Callithrix jacchus: one gene and its partners. The protein of the gene in region 4 purifies or fractionates together with the protein of the main gene of each other region. This does not show direct contact. Links are inferred from orthologs where the notes say so. Each region holds a gene or a part of one and is shown on either strand. Other genes may lie near its edges.

Region 1 (3,500 bases), about 57 Mb from region 4:
ACTAATCTGTCAGCATTTGTGAGAAGACCAAAAACCACGTTCTTTGAAGGCTTCAAACTCTCAAAGTATGTCACACTATAAAACATGGCAAAAAGACATGCCTTCTACATTTGGGATGAATACTATCCTTTAATAGTCTTTTCTCTCTTCAGCGTACATGTGCAGCATATATGCTTCTAAATACATTTAGCCAATTTTAATGCTCATAGTTTTAATGTAATTCCCTAGAGAATTACAACTTTAGAAGTATGTTTTCATGTGCTTAGTATTAAATCTACCACATTTAATCTCGCTGTTTTGATTAAAACTGAATGAAAAGGGAAAGGTATCTTTAGATCTTTCAAATGGGCTGAATAATAAAAGAAACAATTGTAGTTGTGACCAAAAGTGCATTCGTTTGGAGAACAAGTGGAAGGAGTATAAAAAAATTTACTAGGACACCAATATGGTGTGAACCTCCACTAATTAAGGTTGAATAAGCATCCCAAACCAACTATGTTTGATCTACGCAATACTGTAGAGAAAAGTAACTAGTATAATTCAACCTCAATGATACTTTCGACAGGAGTTCTTGTGATAGGTGCTTACCAGATCTTTTGAAACGATGACCTATGCTTCGAGACCAACCGATATGATGAATCAATGGGCTATGCATATGGCACCAGAAGTCATCTGTTCTATCTTCGCTTTCTTCATACACTAGTCTTAATCTTCCTCCAATTACACTTTCCACAACTGCTACTCGTGTTCGACACAAATGCCTCTTGTCAACCACTTCTACTCTCATGCAAGGTTTGAAAGGATACTGCATACTCTCTGAAACCTTAAAACAAAAGAATACAAAAAAAAAAAAAAAAACTGCTCGAAATTTGTGACAAATGTCTACAAGGAATTTTCGTATTATACTGTAAAAAATACTGAATGTGCTTGAAATATAACACAGATCATCAGGTTCACAAAATTAAACCAATTCTTTAAAAATGTTTGTTACCCTTGTTTTATAGAGCTCTTCAGTCTTTATAAGATCCTGTTTTTACCTTTTGTGAGAAATCAGGAGGAAGTGTTTTGGCACCAGTGAGTCGTTTCACTAAAAAAGCTTTCCAGTTTGTATACTTATGCTGAATAGCTAAAATAGAAGAAATAACCAGTTACACTTTGCAAAAAAGAAGTGCTTCATAAACTGTTTTAAAAAAGGTAACAAATTTCCTTGCAAGTCAGACTACTAACATTCTGAAAAGTAAATATACAGAAAGCAAGTATAGGTCTTGCCAGCAAAAGGCTGCTTGACACCAAAAAAAATTATTTTAATTTCTTTGTTTTTTTTTGAGATGGAGTCTTGCTCTGTCGCCCAGGCTGGAGTGTAGTGGTGCAATCTCAGCTCAGGAGTGATTGCAACCTCCATCTCCTGGGTTCAAGCGATTTTTCTGCCTCTGCCTCCTGAGTAGCTGGGCTACAGGCACACGCCAACATGCCGGGCTAATTTTTGTACTTTTAGTAAAGACAGGGTGTCGCCATGTTGGTTGGTCAGGCTGGTCTCAAACTCCTGACCTCAACTGATTCACCTGCCTTGGCCTCCCAAAGTGCTGGGATTACACGCATGAGTCCCTATGCCAGGTCTTTAATTTCCATATTACTTTAACATTACTATGTGTAAAACAGCATTAAAGTACACATATATAAAATTACAGTAAGGGTAAATGAGCTACTTACTTCTAGGAGGAACAAGAGGTTTTCCGCTGGCTGCACACCAACCAACTGGATGGATATCAGAACCACATATATTGCACCAAAAGTCCAGAGCAGAGTCACTTTCAAATCCTTCATATCTTAAAAGGGCGTTGTAACCTGAAACCCAGAATTAAATCACTACACAGTAATAAAATTAAATAAAACAGTAGAGCATCTGATAGCAGTTGTCAAACTAGTGTCTATCTGCAGTAGAATCACCTGAAGGGTTTGTTAACAGACAGATGGCTGGGTCCCACTCCAGAGATTCTGATTTTGTAGATCTTGGGTGGAACTGAGAATATGCCTTTTTAACAAGTCCTCAGGTGATGCTCTTGCTGCTGGTCTAGGGACCAAACTTTGAGAAGCATTTGTTCAGTGTAGTTAGTTCAACTGTTTTCAGAGCATGGCATCCTTGAATGTATTTCAACTGTACCCATAATTTCTTTTTCTTTTCTTTCTTGAGATGGAGTCTTGCTCTGTTGCCTAGGCTGGAGTGCAGAGGCACGATCTTGCCTCACTATAACCTTGACCTCCTGGGTTTAAGTGATTCTCTTACCTCACATTCCTGAGTAGCTGGGATTACAGATATATATATATAATTATGTATATAACATATATATTATATAATATATAATATAAAACATAAATATGTATTATTTATATTATATATAATTACATATATGAATTTATGGAGATAGGATCTTGCTCTATCACTCAGGTTGGAGTGTACTAGTATGATCTTGGCTTGCTGCACCTCCACCTCCTGGGTTCAAGTGATTCTCCTACCTCAGCCTCCAAGTAGCTGGGATTACAGGTATGTGCCACCACGCCCAGCTAATGTTTGTATTTTGAAGAGACACGGTTTCACCATGTTGGTCAAGCTGGTCTTGAACTCCCGATCTCAGGTGATCTGCTCGCCTTGGTCTCCCAAAGTGCTAGGAATACAGGCATGAGCCACTGTGTCTGACCTTAAAGTATATTTCAAAGAAATTGCTTTATCCAGCAGCTTAGGTGGACAATTACTCCTCGGTAATTTCAATGTGGCTACTTTAAGAATCTAAATTTTTCTGTCCTATGTATTTAGAAATGAGATTTGAATATGCCAGGTAAAAAGTTTAATAAACACAAAGAAAATCATGTAAAATGAGTTAAAAACTGTATGTCCTAGGCTAATAGGAATCCTTGTTCTTGGAAAGCACAAAAAATAAGTAATATATCCTATTTATAATTTTATAAACTTTCTGACGATAAAAGATTCAGATTTAATTTAAGGCCTTTAATGAAATAGAAAAGGGCCAATATATGTGTATTGCAGGTTAGGAGCCAAGTTCAGTCAGCATTTTCATGTCTGTGAAAATTTATATCATTAAACGTTCAGTTTTAAAATTCAGTAATTTCACAGAACGATTTATGAGTTTGCTAATTATTGCTGAACTCTAGCTTCTGGTTAACATTAGGCTTACTTCCACAATGGGATTAAAGAGGCTTAAAAGAAGATACATGATGCAATTAGATAAACAAGAAATGTAAAATCAGAGATGGAAGGCTGAAGTAACTTTTCGACAGTAAATGCACTGATCTTAAGAGCTATTTAAATGTAACTAACTTAAACACCCAGGACAAAAATAATATGCTGTTGTTTTAAATTACAGTGTAGAGAATAAGCATTTGCTGAATGCTTATACAGCAGGGAAAATGTTACAAGAAAAAGATGGGGAATTGACCTGGATAATACAGTTAAGTACAGAGATGGGACACTCTTGCAAGAGGTG
Region 2 (3,941 bases), on a different chromosome or scaffold from region 4:
TCCTGGACTCCCAAAGTGCTGGGATTACAGGCATGAGCCATCGCGATGGGCCCCTAAATTCTGTGGGTTCTGTTTCTTTACCACCATGCCCCCTTCTAGCCATTCTCATTACAAAGTAAGTAATCTTTATTTATTTATTTTTTTTTAGATGAAGTTTTGCTCTTGTTGCCCAGGCTGGAGTGCAGTGGTGCGATCTCCGTTCACAACTTCAGCCTCCCAGGTTCAAGTGATTCTGCCTCAGCCTCCTGAGTAGCTGGGATTACATGCATGTACCACCACACCCAGCTAATTTTATATCTTTAGTAGAGACGGGGTTTCTCCGTGTTGGTCAGACTGGTCTCTAACTCCCAACGTCAGGTGATCTGCCCACCTCAGCCTCCCAAAGTGCTGGGATTACAGGCATGAGGCACCTCGCCCAGCCATAAGTAATCTTTCTAAGGAACAAATTTCATCATGGAACTCTGATGACTCATCTCAGTCCTCTGGATGAAGAGCAAAACTCCTTAACATGGCTCACAAGGCCGCCAATGATGTGGCCCATGCCTACTCCCTCCAGGCTTATCAATATTTAGTCTCCTTCATGCTCTGGAGGATGAGAGTAGACTTGCAGGTCCCAGACAAAGATCTCAACTTTACCTACTCTACCCAACCTGCTCTGTGGACTAACCTTTCTCCTCCTGCTTTTCACCAAGCCAAGGCCTACTTTTCAAACTCCTCAGCTTAAACATCATCTCTCCAGGGATGCCTATCCTGATTAAAAACTTTGGCTCACATGTATTACCTTTGCACTCTATCTTACCCCTTGTTTTAGTCCTTATCACACAGTATTTTTTTTTTGACACACAGTCTCTCACTCTGTCACCAGGTGCCAGGCTGGAGTGCAGTGGCACAATCTCAGCTCACTGCAACCTCTGCCTCCAGGGTTCAAGCAATTCTCCTGCCTCAGCCTCCCAAGTAGCTGGGACTACAGGCACATACCACCACATCCAGCTAATTTTTGTATTTTTAGTAGATACGGGGTTTCACCATGTTGGTCAGGATGGTCGAGAACTCCTGACCTCAGGTGATCCGCCCACCTCGGCCTCCCAAAGTGCTGGGATTACAAGTGTGAGCCACCCACACCCAGACTTTTTTTAAACTTTATTTATTATTTATTTATTTATTTGAGACGGAGTTTTGCTATTGTTACCCAGGCTGGAGTGCAATGGTGAGATCTCGGCTCACCGCAACCTCTGCCTCCTGGGTTCAGGCAATTCTCTTACCTCAGCCTCCTGAGTAGCTGGGACTACAGGCATGCGCCACCGTGCCCAGCTAGTTTTTTGTATTTTTAGTAGAGACGGGGTTTCACCATGTTGACCAGGATGGTCTCAATCTCTTGACCTCGTGATCCACCCACCTCGGCCTCCCAAAGTGCTGGGATTACAGGCGTGAGCCACCGAGCCCGGCTATTTATTATTTATTTATTTTTTGAGATGGAGTTTCATTCTTGTCACCCAGGCCGGAGTGCAATGGCATGATCCCCGATCACTGCAACCTCTGCCTTCTGGGTTCAAGTGATTCTCCAGCCTCAGTTTCCCAAGTAGCTGGGATTACAGGTGCGTGCCACCATGCCCAGCTAATTTTTTTATTTTTAGTAGAGATGGGGTTTCACCATGTTGGTCAGGCTGGTCGAGATCTCCTGACCTCAGGTGATCCGCCCGCCTCGGCCTCCCAAAGTGCTGAGATTACAGGCGTGAACCACCGCGACAGGCCTATCACACAGTATTTTAACTGACTGTTAACCCAGCCAGTTACCCCACTGGGGTATCGAGTATGTAAGGACAGAACAGTGTTTTTAATATTCTGTTTCCCTAGAAAACAGAGCCTAACACAACCTATCACCAATGGCATGCTCTGGGTTCTCAACACATTTAATAAATAGGTAGATTCAACTAATAAAAATTCAGCAAGTGGCAGCCCAGTCCGGACACCTCACGCATAATGTTGAATAAAACAGACCGTCTCTAACTTTATAGAGTTTACAACGCAATAGAAAAGTATAAGCAAGTAAGCAAACCAAATCTAATTACAAGCTGAACTATGTCCTGTGAAGGTAATAAATGGGGACACTTGTCAGGATAGTCAAGGAAGGGTTATCTTTCGGAGAAAACATGTACACTGAGACTTGAAGCTGAAAAAGGAGTGGGCTAAGCTCCTCTACCTTTGGAGCAGTTCCTTCCCGTGTCTCCGATGAATAACCCAGCAGTAGGCCAACGAGTACACACCGAGCAGCTGACTACTGCGTGTGCCTCGCATATGCTGGACGTCAGTAGGACAGTGGGAGATGCAACCAGAGAAGTACACGGCAGGTTTCCGCCGTTCTCCATAGTGCCTCCTGAGAGCTTCTCCCTCCCAGGCCCCTTTGACCCCATCCAGAGCTCTCCCTTCTAGGCCTCCACAAACTATCCGCTCCCCCGCCCCCACCCACACACTCCGATTCACCCAGCCATCTCGAATATCAGCTCCCAGAGCTCCTCTCTACTCCCCGCCCTCTTCTTTATCCCGGGTTGCGTCCTTCAGGGCTCCTCTTCGCTTCCTCCCCTCCCTTTTCCCAGGCCCGGATCTTGCCTCTGTGAAACCCCCATAAGTCGTCTGGTAGAACTCATCTTCTTCCTCTGCCTCCAGAAGCCCCGAAAGCCGGTTCCCAGCGGTCTTCCGGGGGGCCCGGCCTCCAGCCAAACTCATACCGTCTACTTAGACCTCGCGGCCACCTGCGACCCCTCAACAGCGCGGTTCTGGAAGCTCGACGCTCAACACCACTACCTGCGGGTGGCCGCCAGCGGCGGAAGTTGGGCGTTTACAGGCAGAAGTAGCAGAGTGTCGAGAGATTTCTAGTCTCTGCCTCTAAATCCTCTTTACTCTTCAGCCTGTCCTATGCCTGTGCGGAGCCTCCAAGCCGCTTGCCTTAGCACCCAATAATCTGCCTTGCTCAATGAGTCCACTTGGTGACACAATGGCCCCCCACAACCCTAAGTCAACACATTTTATTTATTTTATTATTTATTTTTCTTTTTTTAAATTGCATTTTAGGTTTTGGAGTACATGTGAAGAACATGCAAGATAGTTGCATAGTTACACACGTGGCAGTGTGATTTGCTGCCTTCCTTCCCTTCACCTATATCTGGCATTTCTCCCTATGCTATCTCTCCCCAACTCCCTATCCCCCGCCGTCCCTCCCCTATTCCCCACAACAGACCCCAGTGTGTAGTGCTCCCCTCCCTGTGTCCATGTGTTCTCATTGTTCAACACCCGCCTATGAGTGAGAACATGCGGTATTTTCTCATTTCTGTTCTTGTGTCTGTTTGTCATTATTATTATTTTTTGATGTCGAGTCTCTCTCTGTTTCCCAGGCAGAGTTTGGTGGCGTGATCTTGGCTCACTGCAACCTCCACATCCCCGGTTCCAGCAATTCTCCTGTCTCAGCCTCCCTAGTAGCTGGGATTACAGGCGCCCGCCACCACGCCCGGCTAATTTTTGCATGTTTAGTAGAGACAGGATTTCACTATGTTGGCCAGGCTGGTCTCGAACTCCTGACCTCAGGTGATCCACCCTCCTCGGACTCCCAAAGTGCTGGGATGACAAGTGTGAACCACCGCACCCGGCCTATTTTATATTTATATTTATTTATTTTTTAAGAGATGGGGTCTTGCTATGTTGTCCAGGCTGGAGTGCAGCACGATCCCACTACTGATCAGCAAGGGAGTTTTGACCTGCTCTGTTTCCGAGCTGGGCCAGTTCACCCCTCCTTAGGCAACCGGGTGGTCCCCCGCTCCCTGGAGGTCACCATATTGATGCCGAACTTAGTGCGGACACCCGATCGGCATAGTGCACTACAGCCCAGAACTCTTGGGCTCAAGCAATCCTCCCACCTCAGCCTCCCGAGTAGCTGGGACTACAGGCGC
Region 3 (3,018 bases), on a different chromosome or scaffold from region 4:
AAAACTTGACCTCAGCCAAATGGTAAAGGTCACCATCATGTTGCTAGCATGTGATAAGAACCGCACATGATATGTGATGAAAACTGGATTTTACCTCTGAGGTCTTTCTTTCCATAATCCACAATCCCAGTCTACTCATGAAAAAAGCATCAGACAAAGCCCAATTGAGGGATGTTCTGCAGAATACCTGATTAGTCCTCCTCAAAACTGTCAGGGTCATCAAGAACATGGAAAATCTAAGAAAATGTCACAGCCAAGAGACATCTAAGGAGACATGACAACTACCTGTAATGGGGTATCATGGATGGAATCCTGGGACAGAAGAAAAGACATTAATTAAAACAGAGAAAATATGAATGCAGTATAATAATGCATCGGTATTGGTCATTCACTGTGACAAATGTGCTATCTGCTGTAACATGTTAACAATAAGGGAAACTGGGTATGAGATACATGTGAACATCCCTGTTGTGTGTTCACAATGACTCTGTACATCTAAAACTGTTCTGAAAAGTTTATTTTTAAAAAACTTAAAGAAGAGAGAGAGATCAAAATAACCTATGAAGATTTATAGAAAACACACCAGGTAAGGAAGGGTTCTTTACAAGCAACCACAGGAAAAGTTATGATAATTTAAAAAGAAATGCTTTCCACACTGAACTGACAGCACTGCAGACCACGCCTGAGTGGGACAGCAGCCCCAAGCCCAGGGGCGAGCTGTCCAGAACTGGGCCAGGCACACCTGGAGAGTCTCTTGCTGCTGAAAACCTCAGCCATCTCACTTCATGTACTTATCCTGCTGGTCAGCAAGAATTTTGGCGGATGACTTGGCATCATAGAAAAGCTCACTGATCTCCTCAACGTGCTCTTTCTCAATGCTGTCCTTCCCGTTGATTTTAGCAAGCAGGTTGGCCGGGGTCAGCAGCTGCACTGAGTACCTAGAGTGGACAGAGGCCAAGGCTGAAGTGAAACTGGGGCCACCAAAGGAAGCCCCTTCCCCCAAATCAGTAGGCAGCACTGGCACCAGAGGCAGTTCCAAATGCTAGGCTTGTGCTAGCTGTTGTGAACACAGAGAAGTGGAAACAAAGTTGTCACTTCTCAGAGAGCTGCAGTCACTACCCCATGAGAGACGGGCCAGGAGCCACGAACAAGACTTAAGTGCTTTCCCCAAATCTTTAGTACAGTCTACAAATTCTCTCCAATAGGAAGTAACGCCACTGCTACTGGAAAAGGACTGCAAACTTAGATGTATACAGGTGCCTAACAGATAGGGATATTTAACATGGCAGGGAAACGAAAACACGGCCAGCTGGAAGTACATGCCTATCGAAAGGCACGAAGACTCCGTCAATTTAAAAAGTCCCCCTTTTCCAGATCTCACAGCTTGCATCTCTGCCTTCAACCTCAGGAGCAAGAACTGACTCAAGGGATGTTGGGAAGGGCTGAGGACTGTGAAGCAATGATTTTACAATAAGTTAGGCCACTGTTAAGGACATGGTCTGCAGGCCCCCAGACATTTTTTATTTGCTTGATAAATATAATGGTTAAATAAAAATGTTAAAGATTTCCCAGGTCTCATAATATCAGCAGGAGAACAGGAGCCAGGGCCCGGGCTAATGAGCTGCCACATGGGCCCTGCTCTCTAGTTCTGTGCACCTTCTCTGCCACAAGAAGGCCCAGGGTCAAAGCACTCTCCACAAGAGGGGAGAATCTGCTGTAGGAAACAGGGAATTCGGCCTTACTCTACCCTGTTAAAAACCATCAGCTAGATCCTCTGCATTTGAAACTCAACTGCCCTGGCACCCAACACACCAGGAAGAGCAGATGGATATAGTACTGTGGCCTGGGAGGGGACCTGCCTTTATTGCCCAGAACGACCACAGCGAGGGCCCTGGCTGTGCTGAGGAGGCCCCGGTGGGCTCAGGGTACCAGCTCACCTCAGTGTGGTCTTGGTGCCAATCTCCCCCAGGTGGTTCAGTGCCTCCTCACTAATGTTGATTCCCTCCGTCTGGGCGCGGATTTTAATGATCTTTTAGAGGAGAAAAAAACACAATCAACAGTGACTGACCTCAAGCACCCCATTTCTAAAGTACTTTAAAGACAATGTCACTCAGTATTTCTCACTGTGCAGCGTAAGAGAAACCAAGACCTGGGCTGGTGGGCAGGGAGCCAACACCTGCCCAGCACTGCCAGCCCAGCACCTTCCAGGCATGTATGGCCCCAAAGTATGCATGAATGGCATCACGGCCAGTGTGCTGTGTTCAACTGATTCAGTGTGGCTGGCGCCTCAGGAGGTGTGTGGCTTCCCAGGTGGCTCACTCTTGACTCCACATCCTGACCTCCCCTGTCCCCAGACAGAGAACTGAGGCCTCTTCTAACCTGCCCTGGGCTCCCTCAAGAGCTCTAACCTTCCTCTCCAGCATGGGTACCACAAGCACTCAGGCAAGAGACATTTTTTATTTGCTTGATAAATATGATGGTTAAATAAATCAAAAAAGTTACTTTTAAAATTTACCAGGCCTCATAACATCACCAGGAGATATCTAATCTATCAAGAAGAGGCTGACGCTTGTTGCAGTTTGAAGATCTTCGTAGAGGTGGAGGGGAGGCAAGCTGGCGGCGGAGACACTGTAACATAGTGGACCAGGATCCTGCAGGCGCACCAGCACTGAGTGATAAGGGGCAGCCGGGATAATGATGTTGTGTGTTGTGGAGCTGAGATAACTGCAGGACTTCGAGCCGCATATAATACAGGAATTTTTCACTTTGGCAGCTTCGTAAACAAGATATCCAGAAGCCCTTGTTGAAATTAAAGCCATAAAAGCACACCCAGGGTAGAGGCCCAGGAGCTGGGAAAGACTGAGTCCCAGCTTCTGCCATCCAGGAGGGAGGAGAGCCAGAGGTTTACTGAGGTGGCCATGTCAAGCCTCACCTGTCAGCTCTCCAGGCCGGGACCCTGCGGGCAGGAGTTCCAGGGGTGGGGAGCCAGTCTCTGATGATCCTGGTTGGGGTTGGGGG
Region 4 (4,181 bases):
CCAACCTCTCCCGTGTCTCACCTTCTCGGACCTCCTGAATGATCTCTTCTGGAAGGACGAAGTTCCTCTCTGAATTCGGGAACGGAAGAATCTCAGATTCGTGCTGATGTCCAAGAGTTTGGTTTAAGAAACAGGAGGGGGCGAGGTGGAGGCCGAAAATAAAAAAAAGAAACAGAAAATGTGGTTGCAACAAGTTACTGTGGCCGTATCACAGCCACCTGGGGGTGGCCAGTGAGTGCACAGTGCTGTGCTGAGGCCGCAGTAGGTGGGGTCTGGGCAAAGGGCATTTCTTTTTGTGGGTAGCACCAGCTGTGGCTGGGCTTTCCAGAGACTCAGGGAGGGCAGGACCAGTGGAAGCAGCCGCAGGAGTCAGGAAGAAGCAACAGGGCGGCATCACTAAGGGGGGCCCTGAGGATGGGTCAGCGCTGGTGACGCACCCTGTGGGCACCGCCTGCACTCCACGGCCTGTGGTCTCACCATGAGACTGCTTCCCCCAAGGCGGCATGCAGAGGGCATGGTGACAGCCCCAGGGAGAGGCTGCAGGTGCCTCAAGTTCCCCTCCGTGTGGCAGGAGCCCACGGACACTAAGGGTGTTGGCTGGGATGCCACAGTTACAGAATGGGGAGACAGGCAGAGCAGGTGGGGCAGGGCCCCGAGTGCCTGCCAGGCACTACCCTCCTTCGGTCACACAGACCAGAGGGAGACCAGGAGCCAGGGAAAGTGGAGCTGGCCAGAAGAGCCCTGGACTAGGAGGTGGATTCAGGAGACAGAGGCTCCGCTTGGCAGTTTGGGTGCTGTGTGGAGCAGGCAGTCGGGCCACATCTGTGCTCCTCAAAATCTCCTGGGCCTGCTGGTCAGCCTCTCGGGTGGACTCCAGAGGCTCTGTATTTCATTAAGTCTGGATGACTCGGACCTCAGCCACACAGAAGTGCCATGGTCCAGAGAAGGTGCCAGCCCCATGGTCTTGCCCAGTCCTTACTGATGCCACAGGCTACTGAAGGAATAAGGCATGGGGCCACCATTCTGGGGCTGAGAGGCCTGGTGGTCTCATGCGCTCCCTGAGTGTCATGTGGGCTGCTGTGCTCATCTGAGCGAGCACCGGAGCCCCAGGGGACATTACGGGCCTTGGAGCTGTCTGTCTTCCCCAGACACAGGCAGAGAGCTGCACCCATCTCTCTAAATCCCAGTGTGGGAGGTATCTGGGGACCAGGCGCCCTTTCCCACAACTGAGAAGCTGCTGACCCCAGGAGTTCGATGACAGACACGCTCTAGGCAGGAGTGGGGAGGACCTTGTGAGGTTAGTGGTCAGCTGCGCCTGGGCCACTAGGCACTGGTCACCCAATGCTGTACCAGCTCAGAACATCCTCAATGCAGGACGTGGCAGCCACAGGGGTGTGAGCTCCCAGGGCCCTTCCAGGGCTGGGTGTACTTCCTCTCCTTACACAGCCCTCTGCACAGCTGGCATCTCTGTCCGCTTTCTACAGCTATGACAAGGAAACCCACTTCACTCGTCCAGTGGCAACCATTCCCTGCCTCGGCAGTGCCCACATCTTACTGGGAGGGCAGGCGTGGCCCTAAGTCCATCAGGGCAGGCACAGACTCTCTTTCCACCAGCAGAGGTCCCCCTCCTCCTGGTGACCTGCCCCGACCCCCACCCCACTCTCCAGCCGCACCCCCTACCTCTTCTGGCCACCCTGCTTCCTAGTTCACCTGCTAGCCCGTCACACGCCAGCTCCGAGCTCTGTGAGGATTGGAACACCACTTGTCTAACTCCCACAGAAGCCACCAAATTCGCCTTGGTGTGACTCGGATAGGGTCATCGTCTGCCTAAAGCACTTCTGGGGCCTCCCAGGAGACTGGCAATGGCCAAGGGCCCCAGCCTCTGCATCCCTCCCTCCCTCCCTCCCGAGTCTCAGCTGCCCAGTCATCTCCCGGGAGGCTCTGGTCCAGCACCCAGTCAAATGCAGGCCGCCTGAAAAGCTGACCAGCCGCTCGCACTGGTTTGTGCTTCCCATGACAATCTCTCGAGCCACCGCAAGTAGCCCGCAGCTCCGTCCAGCAGACCCCAGCAGGCATGGAGGGGCCTCTGCCCAGCTCAGGCTGACCCTCAGAGAGCGGCGTGCGGGTTCGCGCCCCCACCCGGCGGCACAGGGAGGGCGGTCGGGCTCACCAGCGCCTGCATGTCGTACATGGTGCTCAGGTGGTCCCAGATGACCTTGGATGGGACCTGCCGTCCTATGTTCTGGCTGAACTTGTCCCGGATACAAATCATGTGGAAGTGTCGGTTCACACCTGCGGCAGGAGGGGCGGCGGGGCAACCGGTGAGCCGGGAGGACGGGACGGAGGCGACGGGCGGCCCCGGGGAACGGAGGGGCAAGGGTGGCTGCGGAGGGAGGCGGCGGGGCCGGGGAAGCGGAGGGGCTGCTGGGGGCAGGGCTGAGTGCTGCGTGGGAGGGGCGGGGGCCCCGGGCGGGGCCCACGGGAGGGGGCGGGGTCCCGGGCGGGGTGTGGCGGGGAGCGTGGGGCGCGGGTGTCGCGAGCGCTGGCCCTGCCCCGCCCCGCCGGTTGCCCGCCCCGCCCCCACGCGCGTCCGCGGCCTGGGCGCTCACCGACGGGCTTGTGGCCCAGCATGGCGTGGAAAAGGCACACCTCCACCTCGGGGCTCCACACCACCGTCTCCTCCGCCGGGCTGGTGGCCGCCTCCCCCGGGCCCTTATCGCCCGCGGAGCCCCCGCCGCCCACCTCGGCCTCTCCCATGGCCGCGGCGCGGCCGAGCGAGAAGCCCCCAGCGGGAGCAGGCGCGGCCACGGGCTCCGCGCAGGCGCACTGGGCGGCGTGCGCGCGCTCCGCCGGGCACGCGCTAGGACTCACGCGCCAGGGTCCGCGCAGGCGCAGCGGAGGGCGGGGACGTTTCCCGCCCGGACCCGGCCCTGCTCCGCCCCGCGCCGGGGTGCTTCAAACGTGTTTCTCTTAGAAACGCGGCAGAAAGAACACTGCATCCAAAGAAAAAGTCTGCGCTACAAAGAAAACCGTCACAAAAGTGAAAAGACGACCCACAGACTGGGAGAAAATATTTGCAAATCCCGTATTAATAAGGAACTTCCTGGCAGAAGGTATAAATAATTCTTATAACTCAGTTATATAAAGAGTCTAACTATAAAACGGCAACGGATTTGGATACACATTTTTCCAAAGAAGATATACAGATGGGCTGGGCGCGGTGGCTCACGGCTGTCATCCCAGCACTTTGGGAGGCCGAGGCGGGCGGATCACCTGAGGTCTGGAGTTCCAGACCAGCCTGACCAACATGGTGAAAGCCCGTCTCTACTAAAAATACAAAATTAGCCAGGCGTAGTGGCGCGGCCACTTGTGATCCCAGCTACTCCGGGAGCTGAGGTAGGAGAATCCCTTGAACCCAGGAGGCGGAGGTTGCAGTGAGCCGAGATCGCGCCACTGCACTCCATCCTGGGCAACAAGGGCGAAATTCCATCTCAAAAAAAAATCTAGTCTGGCTGTTCCTCAGACGATGGAACCGTCTCCCTAGGAGGCGGCAGCTCCCAGGCGGGCGCCAGCGGCGGTGGAAGAACGCGCAGGTCCAGGCCGGGACCCGCCCCCAGCGCCCCCAGGGTGTAGCTCCTGCAGCCGCCAGGCGAGCGTCGCCCCCAAGCCCGGGGCGGAACCCGCAAGGGGCGCACGGAGCGCGGACACCCGCATTGCGCAGCCGCGTGCAGCGGGAAGGGAGAGAGCAGCGTGGGTGCGGCTGAAACGCTAAGTCAGAGAACTCAGACACCGAAATACACGGCGAGGGAATCCATTCACAGGAAGAGCCAGAACGCCCACGCGCGGTTGCCAGTGACCGGGGAGGAGGGAAACGCGAGGCAGTGCGATGGGCACCGGCTTCGTTTTTGTTTGCTTTTGAAACCGAATCTCGCTCTGTCGCCCAAGCTGGGTGCAGCGGCGCGATCTCGGCTCACTGCAACCTCCGCCTCCTGGGTTCAAGCGATCCTTCTGCCTCAGACTCCCGAGTAGCCGGATTACAGGCGTGCGCCACCCCCGGCTAATTTTTGTATTTTTAGTAGAGACGGGGGTTTCACCGTGTTGGCCAGGCTGGTCTCGAACTCCTAGACCCGAGGTGACCCGCCCGCCTCGGCCTCCCGAAGTGCTGGGGTGACGGGTGGGAG
Region 5 (3,397 bases), on a different chromosome or scaffold from region 4:
GAGGGCACATGCTCCTCGGGGACTTTCCCTCCCACGTGAGGGCAGGCGTGGCCATGGTACACACTGGATGAAGCACAAGGAGGAGGTGGAGCTGGGCGCAGAGTGCTTCATGCTGAGCCTCTGGGCATGTTTCAGGCACACTCTGCACACGCTCCACACATGCATGTTACATGGCAGCAGCCTGGAACACATCAACACAGCTGAGGGCTCTGGGTCCCAGCACCCTGACCCACTGCTGAGGTTGGGCCGCCATTACTCGTCGCTGTGACTGAATACGCTCTGAGCTGGCTTCCCATGCCCCAAGTCACAGCTTCCTCTGTGATCACAGCAGCACTGTGCCTGCCCGGGCAGTGCACACCGTCACCAAGAGGCTACCCTGAGGAGCCCACGCTGCCTCTGGGGCCTCTGCTTCCCAAGGGGCTGAGGGACGTTGGGAGGGAAGAAACCTCTCATGGAAACAAGCTGTTTCCATTTTAACATAAATAATGGACAAGAAACCCTTTTATAAAATATTTATTCTAAAAAAAAATCACACTGTACAAATTTAGATAGAACATTCTCAATGCTCAGATTTATAAAAATGTGAACAGAAAGACTGAAGTAGCAAAGGAACTTACATTTCTGTTTTGTCTTTTTAAATTAGGAAGGTAAAAGTGATTTTTCTTCAGGTACAATGATAGTAAACGTCTAGAAGACATCCAAAGAGCCAGAAATAAAAATCGCAGGAGCTGCCTGCAGACTCTCAGTTCTGTCTCCACCAGCGGAATCCAGGTGGATGTGGTGTGGCGCTCCCGCAGGGTGACCCGACCCATGGATCCACGCCGAATGCTCAGCGAGAATCCCAGGGCGGGCTGCGTACAACCTAAAACTCTGTGCTCAGAAAAACCAGCACGATCAGTTCATCATCTCCTGTGTCTCAAGCAAAATGGGTTTTCTATACACTTGTTACAAAGGTCTGTACAAAAGCACGAAGTTGCTGTGAGGTGTTAAAAATGGACGGTTGGGAGCTGCCCGTACGGTTCCGCCTGTACATTCACAGAGGGAGGACACCATAAAAAAGGGACTCACCCAGAAATTCTAGACTGGAGAGTCCTGGTTTCTTAAAAGATCATTTAAAAGCTTGGAGTAAGTTCCAGCTCTACCATTTCTAACCGCCTCGCCCACAGTCGTCACCAGCTCCCTCTTTCACACACAAACTATCAGGAAAGTGACTGCAACCCAGGACTTTCGTGAATAAAATGAACGAGGCAGAGAGAAGTGGTAAAAGCCGCGGGCTCAGAGCCTGGGGCTCCCTTCACATTCTGGGTGGCTGAGGCGGCTGCGGTCACAGCCAGGGGTGCCAGGCGGGGTCCATGCGGCACAGGTTGTCCAGGCTGTTTGCCGCAGCCACCAGGGTGTTCACCTTGCTCTCCCCGCCTTCAAACTGGGCGAGGTTGTGCAGGCGGGTCATGATGGCGGTCACAGCTTTCTGAACTAGGGACACCAGCTGCTGGCTGTCCATGTTCTCTGGCTGCCCAGCAGCCGAGAGAGGAGAGGACGTGTCCTCCTGCGTTTTTTTGTGCCAAGCAATGATCTCGTCCCGGAGCACGGTTTTCAGAATGCCATCCACCTGCGTGAGGGAGAGAACGTGAGGACTTGCGGTGAACCAAGGGCAGCTTCCTCACAAGGCAGGGCTCAGCCACAGCGGCTTCCCAGGGCCACCAGGGCTGGTCAAGCCTCAGCACTGGGCCAGGCCATGTGCCCTCAGGACGGTCTGGGGAAGCCACTGGGGACACATGCCCTCCTCCACTTGAAGCAGCAGCCAGAAGGCCTTGGAGCTGGGCAGCACAAACCTGAGTGGCACAGGCGGCCACACTGCAACTGGGGCTCCATCTGCTTATTTACTTGATGCCTTCCAGTGTCTGCTGAGTGTTGGGCCGGCCTGTTCCAGGCACTACAGCCGAGAGTGAACCAAAGAGAAAACCATCCCCTGCCCTCACAGCAAAGAAGGACGTAACCCATGGGGGTGCTGGCCACAGTGGGAAACGCAGAGCCCACGACGCAGATAAACAGCTCCCGCAAGGCTGTGACGTGCGTGCACCTGAGCGGCTCTGGCCTGTGCCTGTCATCGGATGATGCGGAGACCCACCTTGAAGTTTGGCTGCGCGAAGCACCGGGCCACCGCGATCATGGACGCCGTCAACGGGCCGGAGACGCCGATGGTGGTCAGAAACTCAGAAATGTTGGGTGTGAGGCGGAACGGGACAGGACGGTTGGCATCCAGGTCTCCAGTCGCGTCGTTTATGTCAAATCGAAAGTAGGCAACATTCAGTTTGCCAGTGTCCTAAATTTCAGAAGGAGACACTTTAGGAACTTCAACAGAAAGGCGACGTCTCGAGGAGAGGATCTGGCTGTTCAAACCGGCTTACCTGAGCGATCTGTAACATCTCGGGGTTGAGTCTATTTAAATGCAGGACGAATTCCGCGAAGCCTATCAGAGCCAGCTGGATGGTGAACATCTTACGGAACGTCCAGTAGTCCGTGGCGTTGGGGAAGGTGTGCAGCGCCCACTCCTTCAGCATGCTGCGCGGCACCATGTTACTCTGAACCTCCTTGAGGATGTCGCGAAGGACCTGAAGTACATTGATCCATGACACTTCCACCTAACTCACTCTTTTTTTTTTTTTTTTTGCAAAACAAAAACTCTCAAATTGCAATTAGTCTTTAACTTAGCAGCTAGAGTAAATTCCAGTGAGAGATTTGACACATGCATTGTTATTTGAACACGAGGAGGCACAAGATGGCTCTGTTTCCCTCTGGGTTTGCTGCTGTCCCCTCTAAAGCACCAATGCAGCTGGTCTGCGCCAAAGCCTGTTACCTGATACGCGACACCTGACGAGAATGCAGGTAAATATCGAAACACTTCGACCCTTGCTGACCACAGAATATTTCAGACCAATTAACACAACAAAACAGCTGACACCAGCAGTGCCACTTCCAACCAAGACTGTATACCGAAGACAAATGCTTCACAAACTGAAGGAGCTGCTGTGACCACACACACCACACTTGAGACTGATCTCTGGACTGGAGACTCACAGACCACTGCAGACACCGCCACTCGGTAAGAGTTTACTGAGTTAATGGAGCTCCTGTTTGACTACCTGGTATAGGCCGGGGGTCTCTTCTCAGTTAAGTCCGACCCCCATGCTCCGAATGGCAGTGAGAAAGCATGCCCTTCCGCCGGCAAGAACAAGGCAGGCCGCCCACGACACATGCAGCTCGTTTCCTCGTCTGTCAAATGGGAAGAAGCACTTCTGAGACCTCAAGGATTTCCAAAATCTGCTCCTCAAGCAGTGAGCATGCTGCCAAAACCCATCAAAATCAACTTTTGATGCTAGAATGCTAGAAATTAAAG
Region 6 (3,500 bases), on a different chromosome or scaffold from region 4:
AAAATTGAGTAAACCTCAGTTATTAGAATTATAGATATGGTTAGAGATTATTGTTTTGGAATTATAGAGCAATAAAACTTAAGATCTAAAATGCAAGCTTTATTTTTTCAGGTGGTTCAAATTTGAAATATATTTCTTAATATTATTTTTAGTGGCTTAAAACAGAAACTGATTATCATACAGCTCTGTAGGCCAGAAGTCCACAATGAATCTTACAGGGTTAAAATCAAGGTAATGGCAGGGCTGGTTCCTTCTGGCAATTATAGTTTTATTAAGTATTTTTATTCTGATCTCTAGCATCTTTATTTAGTAGTGTCTATTAACAACTTCCCCTAGTGGCAATTTTCCTCTTCATTTTTAAAACTTTTATTCTATTTTTTTGAGAGAGAGTCTGACTCCATCACCCAGGCTGGAGTGCAGTGGTGCAATCTCAGCTCACTGAAACCTCCACCTCCTGGGTTTAAGCGATCCTCATGCCTCAGCCTCCCACGTAGCTGGGATTACAGGCATGTACCACCATGAGCAGCTTATTTTTGCATTTTTAGCACAGACAGAGTTTTGCCATGTTGCTCAGGCTGGTCTTGAACAACTGACTGCAAGTGATCCACCGTGCCTGGCTGCAATTTTCTTCTATAGGGAAATGTGATTCACAACAGCAAGGGGTTATGCTATTAAATGTATTTCACAATTCAAGTGAATTACTACCCAGCTCATGGCGCACAGCCACACGGCACTTAAACACATAGTTTAGAAAGTGGTTAGGAAAGCTGTATCTTAAAAAAAAAAATATTTGGGGGAGTGGCAGTGGAGAATGATTCTTACAACTAAATAACTAGTTCTATAAATTCTCAACAACCCTTCAAGAAAAAAATTAAAAATATCATATTTGGCTCTAGGACTCTTCTCAAAATATTAGAAGACTAGTTTATAAGCTAGCCACTTGAAATTACGTATATTAACTGAAAAGAAATTCAGGTTAGGGCCTGGCACAGTGGCTCACACCTGTAATCCCAGCACTTTGGAAGGCTGAGGATCACGACGTCAGGAGTTCAAGACCAGCCTGGCCAAGATGGTGAAACCACATCTCTACTAAAAATACAAAAATTAGCTGGGTGTGGTGGCAGGCGCCTCCCTGACTTGGGAGGCTGAGGCAGGAGAATTGCCTGAACCTGGGCAGCAGAGGTTGCAGTGAGCTGAGATTGCGCCACTGCACTCCAGCCTGGGTGACAGAGTGAGGGTTAGATCCCTCAAATCAACAGTGGCAAAACCAAGATTATCTTCTGTGAACTTGACTAAAACTGAACAAAGCTACGTAATGATGAAAGAAACAGACATAACTATGATGAAACGACAAGTTTACCTGTGCTTTTGGATGTGTCTGTTGCGAGGAATGCTGAGATTGCTGTTTCTGCTGAAGTTGGGCAAGCTGCTGCCTTTGCATCTGAACCAACTGCTGCTGATGTGTCTGAAACTGCTCTTCTGTGATACCCCCTGTTACTGGTAAAGAATATGAATTTTGGAAATGAGTACATTTTAAAGAATTTTTAATAACACAAGCAGAATACAATATAAACTTATTCCACAATTAAGATGAAAGCAATTACGAATCGCAGTATGGTTTATCAGAAAATAATCTAATGAAAATGGCAAATCTTTCAGCAAGTGTGGTGTAACACTTGTATCTATGATCTCCATCATATGCCAACAAAAGTGCCTAAATGTAGTTTTTGTTGAATAATAGAGTTCTAACATAAATATTTTACCATTTTTTCAGACTTAGTATCTTTGATACCACTCTTAATTTTTCATATGATGAGCATGTAATGAGAAAAACTTTGATTTATTCATGTAAATAATAATAATAATAATAATGATTAAGTTATAGCCCTAATAAGAAAGCAGGACCATCTCCAAGACTGTAAATGATTTTTACTGCTGGTTTCATATAACACTGAGGTGAAAATACTTTATTCTCTGATTACAAATCAGAGTAAGGAACAACATTCATCTAACATAACCATAAACCACAGTTTCAGCCAATAGATTCAATGCCTAAAATAAATCCATCCATAAAATTATGGGCTAGAAATCAGACAAGTATTCAGAAAACTGAAGATACTATATATCCTCAGATATAATAAATTCTATTTTGACCAACTGTGTTAAAAGTGTGTTTCAAATGAAAACAAGACATCTACAACTTCTGTTGAACAGATCAGCTAAGTTACAAAAAACATTTTTCTCAAAGAAATGTAAACAAAATTTCATTAATTGATATTTAAGTAAATCACTGATAAACTGATTTAGAAAACACAAAACCATTTCCATGGAAGTCAGTACATTAATATTAAGAGTCAAGAAAAATTAAATGACATGAGAATACATGTACTTCAGAGTAATTTTGCTCTATTTTCTTGATTGCTTGCCCTCTTTTCTCCCAATTATTTCAATCAACAAATATTTGCTATCTACTATAATGCAGAATGTTGCACTGAGTTATAGTGAATATAGAGGAAAACAAATGAATAAGAGGATGTCTGGTACAAAGTCTTGGAACGTAGTTGGGAAAAAATGACAGACACAGGAAATATCAATTAATGAATCAACCTTTACATGCAACTGAGTGACCTAACCAATATCACCCTAAAGGAGTTTAGATTGGCAACTACAGCCTCAATCTAGCTTACTTAACTCTCCCAAGTTTTCTGTTGAGTAGAATCACAAATGAATAATTAAAAAAATTTTTTTATGGTAAACTAGACATATAACTAGTCTATTTTCTATGAAAAAGGAGTTACGCCCCAGAGATGAACAAAGCTTTAGATATACTCTCACTTCTGTTCCACAATATTATCATTAGAATTTATATTGGACAGTAAGGGGAAAACAGTTCTTAGATAGCAATTTTGTTTTTAAAAGATTCAACACCTTGGGGCTATTACAGTGTTCACTCTAAACTTTTAATATTACCTTTATTTTTGAAGTACATATTAGTTATCTTACTGAATTACCAACAAAATCAAATGTCTTTCTTTGCACATGTTAAATTCACTGAAAGTGCTCTATTTTTAAATGAAAAAAATTTTTTAAATTCTAAATTTACAATCTTCAAACTCAAATGAAAATGTGAAGTATTCATGAATTTCCAGCTGTTTGAAAACCTTGGTGAAAGAGATGAAAAATAGTTTATTACATACAAAGACAGAAAGAAAAATCTTAAATTAAACCCAAATAAATGTGTTTAAGTCCTATGTGTACAGTATATCAATTCAAAAGAAATGGACTTGGAATCTGGTATTATTACAACAGTCCTTAAGCCCAGTGTCAAGTGTGTCCAGAGTTAAGCTGTACATTCTGATGAAAAGGTAAGAGGCACAGTGATTAACATTAAGTGAGGAATAAACCAAATAGCACATATACTTTCAGTGACTATTTCAAAATTGAGAAATGAGAATGAGAATTTTTTCTTTTCTAAAATCTTTTAAGTCAGTTGATAAAAT
Region 7 (3,500 bases), on a different chromosome or scaffold from region 4:
TCAAAAAAAATAAAATTAAAATAATATAAAAGAAATAAAAAATAAAAAAATTAGCCAGGCATGGTGGCGTGCACCTGTAGTCCTTTAGGAGGCTGAGGCGGGAGGAGCCCAGGTGTTTGAGGCTGCACTGAACTACAAATACACCACTGCACTCCAGTTTGGGTGACAGAGCGAGACTCTATCTTTACTTTTTTTTTCAGTCTTGCTTGGTCATCCAGGCTTGAATGCAGTTGTGCAATTTCAGCTCACTGCAACCTCCACATCCCAGGTTCAAGCAATTCTCCTGCCTCAGCCTCCAAAGTAGCTGGGATTACAGGTGCCCAGCTCCAAACTTGGCTAATTTTTGTACTTTTAGTAGAGACGGGGTTTTACCATGTTGGTCAGGATAGTCTCCATCTCTTGACCTTGGGATCCACCCACCTCAGCCTCCCAAAGTGCTGGGATTACAGATGTGAGCCACCACATGTGACCGACCCTGTCTTTAAAAATATATATGTGTGTATATATATATATATATATATATATATGAAATAATTTTTTAAAAACCTGTCAGGTAGATATAATCCTTCTCATAGTAAATTATGACTCATAATTTTACTCTTACTTTCTTTTGTTAGTTATATATTAATTTTTATCAACAGAGTAAACAACCTACGGAAGTGGAGAAAGTATTTGCAAACTATGTCTCTAACAAAGGTCTAATACCCAGCTTCTATAAGGAACTTAAACAAATTTACAAAGAAAAAACAAACTGCCTCATTAAAAAGTGGGCAAAGGACATGAACAGACACTTCAGAAGAAAACATACATTCGGCCAACACCATATGAAAAACAGCTCATTATCACCGATCATCAGAGAAATGAAAATTAAAACCACAATGAGATATCATCTCACACCAGTCAGAATGGCTGTTATTAAAAAGCAAAAAAAATAGGGCTGAGTGTGGTGGCTCGCACCTGTAATCCCAGCACTTTGGGAGGCCAAGGAGGGTAGATCACAAGGTCAAGAGTTTGAGACCAGCCTGGTCAACATGGTGAAACCTCATCTCTACTAAAAATACAAAAATTAGCCGGGTGTGGCAGCATGTGCCTATAATTCCAGCTACTCAGGAGACTGAAGCAGAAGAATCACTTGAACTCAGGAGGTGGAGGCGGAAGTTGCAGGGAGCCAAGATTGTATGAATGCACTACAGCCTGGGCAACGGAGCAAGACTCTGTCTTGGAAAAAAAAAACAAAAACAATAATAATAAAATTAAAATAACATATGCTGCTGACAAGGTTGCAGAGAAAAGGAAACGTTTATTCACTTTTGGTGGGAATGTAAATTAGTTCAAACATTGTTGAAAGTAGTGTGGCAATTCCTCAAAAAGCTAAAAACAGAACTACCATTTGGGGTTTTTTTTTGAGATAAGGGTCTCACTCTGCTGCCCAGGCTAGTGTGCAATGGGGCAATCACAGCTCACTGCAGCCTCGACCTCCCTGGGGTCAGGTGATTCTCCCACCTCAGTCTCCCAAGTAGCTAGGACTCAAGGTGCACACCCCCACACTTAGCTGATTTTTATTTTTTTGTTGTTTTGGGAAGAAATCTCACTCTGTAACCCAGGCTGGAGTGCAGTGGCACTGTGTTGGCTCACTGCAACCTCCGCCTCCCAGGTTCAAGCAATTCCCCTGTCTAAGATTCCTGAGTAGCTGGGATTACAGGTGCCTACCACCATGCCCAGCTAATTTTTTTATATTTTTTAGTACAGACAGGGTTTCACCACGTTGGCCAGGCTGGTTTTGAACTCCTGATCTCAGGTGATCCGTCTGCCTCGGCTGCCCAAGTGCTTGATTACAGGCATGAGCCACTGCGCCCAGACCAACTTAGGCTATTTTTCTATGTTTTTGTAGAGACAGGGTTTTGCCATGTTTCCCAGCCTGGTCTCAAACTCCTGGGCTCAAAGGATCTACCCACCTCAGCCTCTCAAATTATAGGCCTGAGACACCATGCCTGGCCCAGAACTACCATCTGACCCAGCCATCTCATTACTGGGTTTATACCCAAAGGAACATAAATCAGCCTATCATAAAGACACATGTGTGCATATGTTCACTGCACCACTATTCACAATAGCAAACACACAAAATCAACTTAAATGCCCATCAGTGGAAGACTGGATAAAGAAAATGCAGTATATACATACCATGGAATACTATGCAGTGAAAAAAAGAGAATGAGATCATGTCCTTTGAAGGAACATGGATGGAGCCGGAGACCATTATCCTCAGCAAACACGGGAACAGGAAATCAAACAAATACCACACGCTTTCACTTACAAGTGGGAGCTAGATGATGATAATACATGGACACAAAGAAGGAAATACAGACAGTGGGGCCTCCCTGAGAGAGGAGTACACAAAGTAACTATTGGGTGCTAAGCTTAGTACCTGGGAGACAATAATCTGTGTAACAAACCCCCGTGATATAAGTTTATCTATATAACAAACCTGCTTGTGTACCCTGATCCTAAAATATGTTTTTTTTTTAAAAAAAAAAGAAATTACACTGTATCTGTGGTGTCAGGTTGTTTTACTAACCTCTTCCCCATCAGTAAGCCATATGTTCAGAGATGGGTTTTTAGTAAAGAGAATCTCTCACGGGTTCCTTGTTCTGAACAAAAACACATTTTTCATATGGCTGACTGATGCTGGGAAACAGAACGAGCTGAGACATACTAGTAAGTCTCTAGAACACCTGAAACCATTTCTCAGCCAAGGATGTTCAGAAGAATAGCATGAAACTAAAATTCCTTCCAGGTCTCACCACAGTAATCCAAGTGAATATGTAGTAATTTGTAGAGATATTTGTTTGGCAAATATGAAAAGCATGCCTCCCCTAGCAAAGTTCTTTTTTTAGTAAAATATCATTAAAAATATAGAGCGTGACCCTGAAATCATGTTCTATTTAATCTTCAAAATATATTTAGTAATAAAAAAATAAAGTGCTTGAAAATATAAAGTACCCATATTTTACTCAAGGATTTATAGCCTATATCTAACTTTTTTTTAATACTCATGGAAAAAGTCTACAACATTTTTGTAAAGAGAATAAAGTTACTTACATTACACATATAATTGTGCCAAGACCTCGTAACCTGTGGCAACTTCTCCTTTCTTTTCCAGTTTGCTGGAGATCCTTCCCGAACAGCTTCCTGAGAGGACCAAGAGATGCTGGGTTAATGGAGTTCATTTCATAGGGGTGGGGAGCTGGAGGTAAGTTCTACAAAGAAAAGTCAATAATTACTCACTTTTGATGCAATCATATATGGAGGAACCAATTCAATATTCATTTCTTGGAAGAGCTCTCTGCATTGCATAGTAATAAAGTCTCCAGCAAGAGGGGATTTCACAATGCCTACGAGACACATGAAACGAGGCTAAGACAGCATTAAGTCTAAACTTCCTGTAACAAATTTCCTCCGTGGTTGTGTTTATATGAATAACTTTTTCAGGTAAAATG

What was found.
Region 1: the proteins of MRGBP (region 4) and MBTD1 purify together in Homo sapiens (affinity purification with mass spectrometry; 4 studies listed by BioGRID and IntAct, counting the BioPlex papers as one, with this or other methods). This does not show direct contact. The link is inferred for Callithrix jacchus from reciprocal best matches to the Homo sapiens genes MRGBP and MBTD1.
Region 2: the proteins of MRGBP (region 4) and VPS72 purify together in Homo sapiens (co-immunoprecipitation; 5 studies listed by BioGRID and IntAct, counting the BioPlex papers as one, with this or other methods). This does not show direct contact. The link is inferred for Callithrix jacchus from reciprocal best matches to the Homo sapiens genes MRGBP and VPS72.
Region 3: the proteins of MRGBP (region 4) and RUVBL1 purify together in Homo sapiens (co-immunoprecipitation; 6 studies listed by BioGRID and IntAct, counting the BioPlex papers as one, with this or other methods). This does not show direct contact. The link is inferred for Callithrix jacchus from reciprocal best matches to the Homo sapiens genes MRGBP and RUVBL1.
Region 5: the proteins of MRGBP (region 4) and TRRAP purify together in Homo sapiens (co-immunoprecipitation; 3 studies listed by BioGRID and IntAct, counting the BioPlex papers as one, with this or other methods). This does not show direct contact. The link is inferred for Callithrix jacchus from reciprocal best matches to the Homo sapiens genes MRGBP and TRRAP.
Region 6: the proteins of MRGBP (region 4) and EPC2 purify together in Homo sapiens (co-immunoprecipitation; 4 studies listed by BioGRID and IntAct, counting the BioPlex papers as one, with this or other methods). This does not show direct contact. The link is inferred for Callithrix jacchus from reciprocal best matches to the Homo sapiens genes MRGBP and EPC2.
Region 7: the proteins of MRGBP (region 4) and ACTL6A purify together in Homo sapiens (co-immunoprecipitation; 4 studies listed by BioGRID and IntAct, with this or other methods). This does not show direct contact. The link is inferred for Callithrix jacchus from reciprocal best matches to the Homo sapiens genes MRGBP and ACTL6A.

What each region holds. Positions count from the first base shown.
Region 1 is NC_133506.1:115,168,035-115,171,534, reverse strand, and holds part of MBTD1 (MBT domain-containing protein 1), read right to left. Parts: intron 1,846-3,500; coding exon 1,711-1,845; intron 1,127-1,710; coding exon 1,038-1,126; intron 824-1,037; coding exon 589-823; intron 1-588. UniProt on the Homo sapiens protein: Chromatin reader component of the NuA4 histone acetyltransferase complex, a multiprotein complex involved in transcriptional activation of select genes principally by acetylation of nucleosomal histones H4 and H2A.
Region 2 is NC_133519.1:11,082,130-11,086,070, forward strand, and holds the start of VPS72 (vacuolar protein sorting-associated protein 72 homolog), read right to left. Parts: upstream 2,801-3,941; 5' UTR 2,725-2,800; coding exon 2,608-2,724; intron 1-2,607. UniProt on the Homo sapiens protein: Deposition-and-exchange histone chaperone specific for H2AZ1, specifically chaperones H2AZ1 and deposits it into nucleosomes.
Region 3 is NC_133516.1:74,067,474-74,070,491, reverse strand, and holds the end of RUVBL1 (ruvB-like 1), read right to left. Parts: intron 2,030-3,018; coding exon 1,938-2,029; intron 939-1,937; coding exon 779-938; 3' UTR 501-778; downstream 1-500. UniProt on the Homo sapiens protein: Possesses single-stranded DNA-stimulated ATPase and ATP-dependent DNA helicase (3' to 5') activity; hexamerization is thought to be critical for ATP hydrolysis and adjacent subunits in the ring-like structure contribute to the ATPase activity.
Region 4 is NC_133506.1:58,328,363-58,332,543, reverse strand, and holds the start of MRGBP (MRG/MORF4L-binding protein), read right to left. Parts: upstream 2,801-4,181; 5' UTR 2,758-2,800; coding exon 2,610-2,757; intron 2,293-2,609; coding exon 2,171-2,292; intron 104-2,170; coding exon 22-103; intron 1-21.
Region 5 is NC_133503.1:14,584,431-14,587,827, forward strand, and holds the end of TRRAP (transformation/transcription domain-associated protein), read right to left. Parts: intron 2,613-3,397; coding exon 2,409-2,612; intron 2,324-2,408; coding exon 2,129-2,323; intron 1,610-2,128; coding exon 1,325-1,609; 3' UTR 501-1,324; downstream 1-500. UniProt on the Homo sapiens protein: Adapter protein, which is found in various multiprotein chromatin complexes with histone acetyltransferase activity (HAT), which gives a specific tag for epigenetic transcription activation.
Region 6 is NC_133507.1:81,621,339-81,624,838, forward strand, and holds part of EPC2 (enhancer of polycomb homolog 2), read right to left. Parts: intron 1,498-3,500; coding exon 1,361-1,497; intron 1-1,360. UniProt on the Homo sapiens protein: May play a role in transcription or DNA repair.
Region 7 is NC_133516.1:7,806,214-7,809,713, reverse strand, and holds part of ACTL6A (actin-like protein 6A), read right to left. Parts: intron 3,396-3,500; coding exon 3,289-3,395; intron 3,193-3,288; coding exon 3,103-3,192; intron 1-3,102.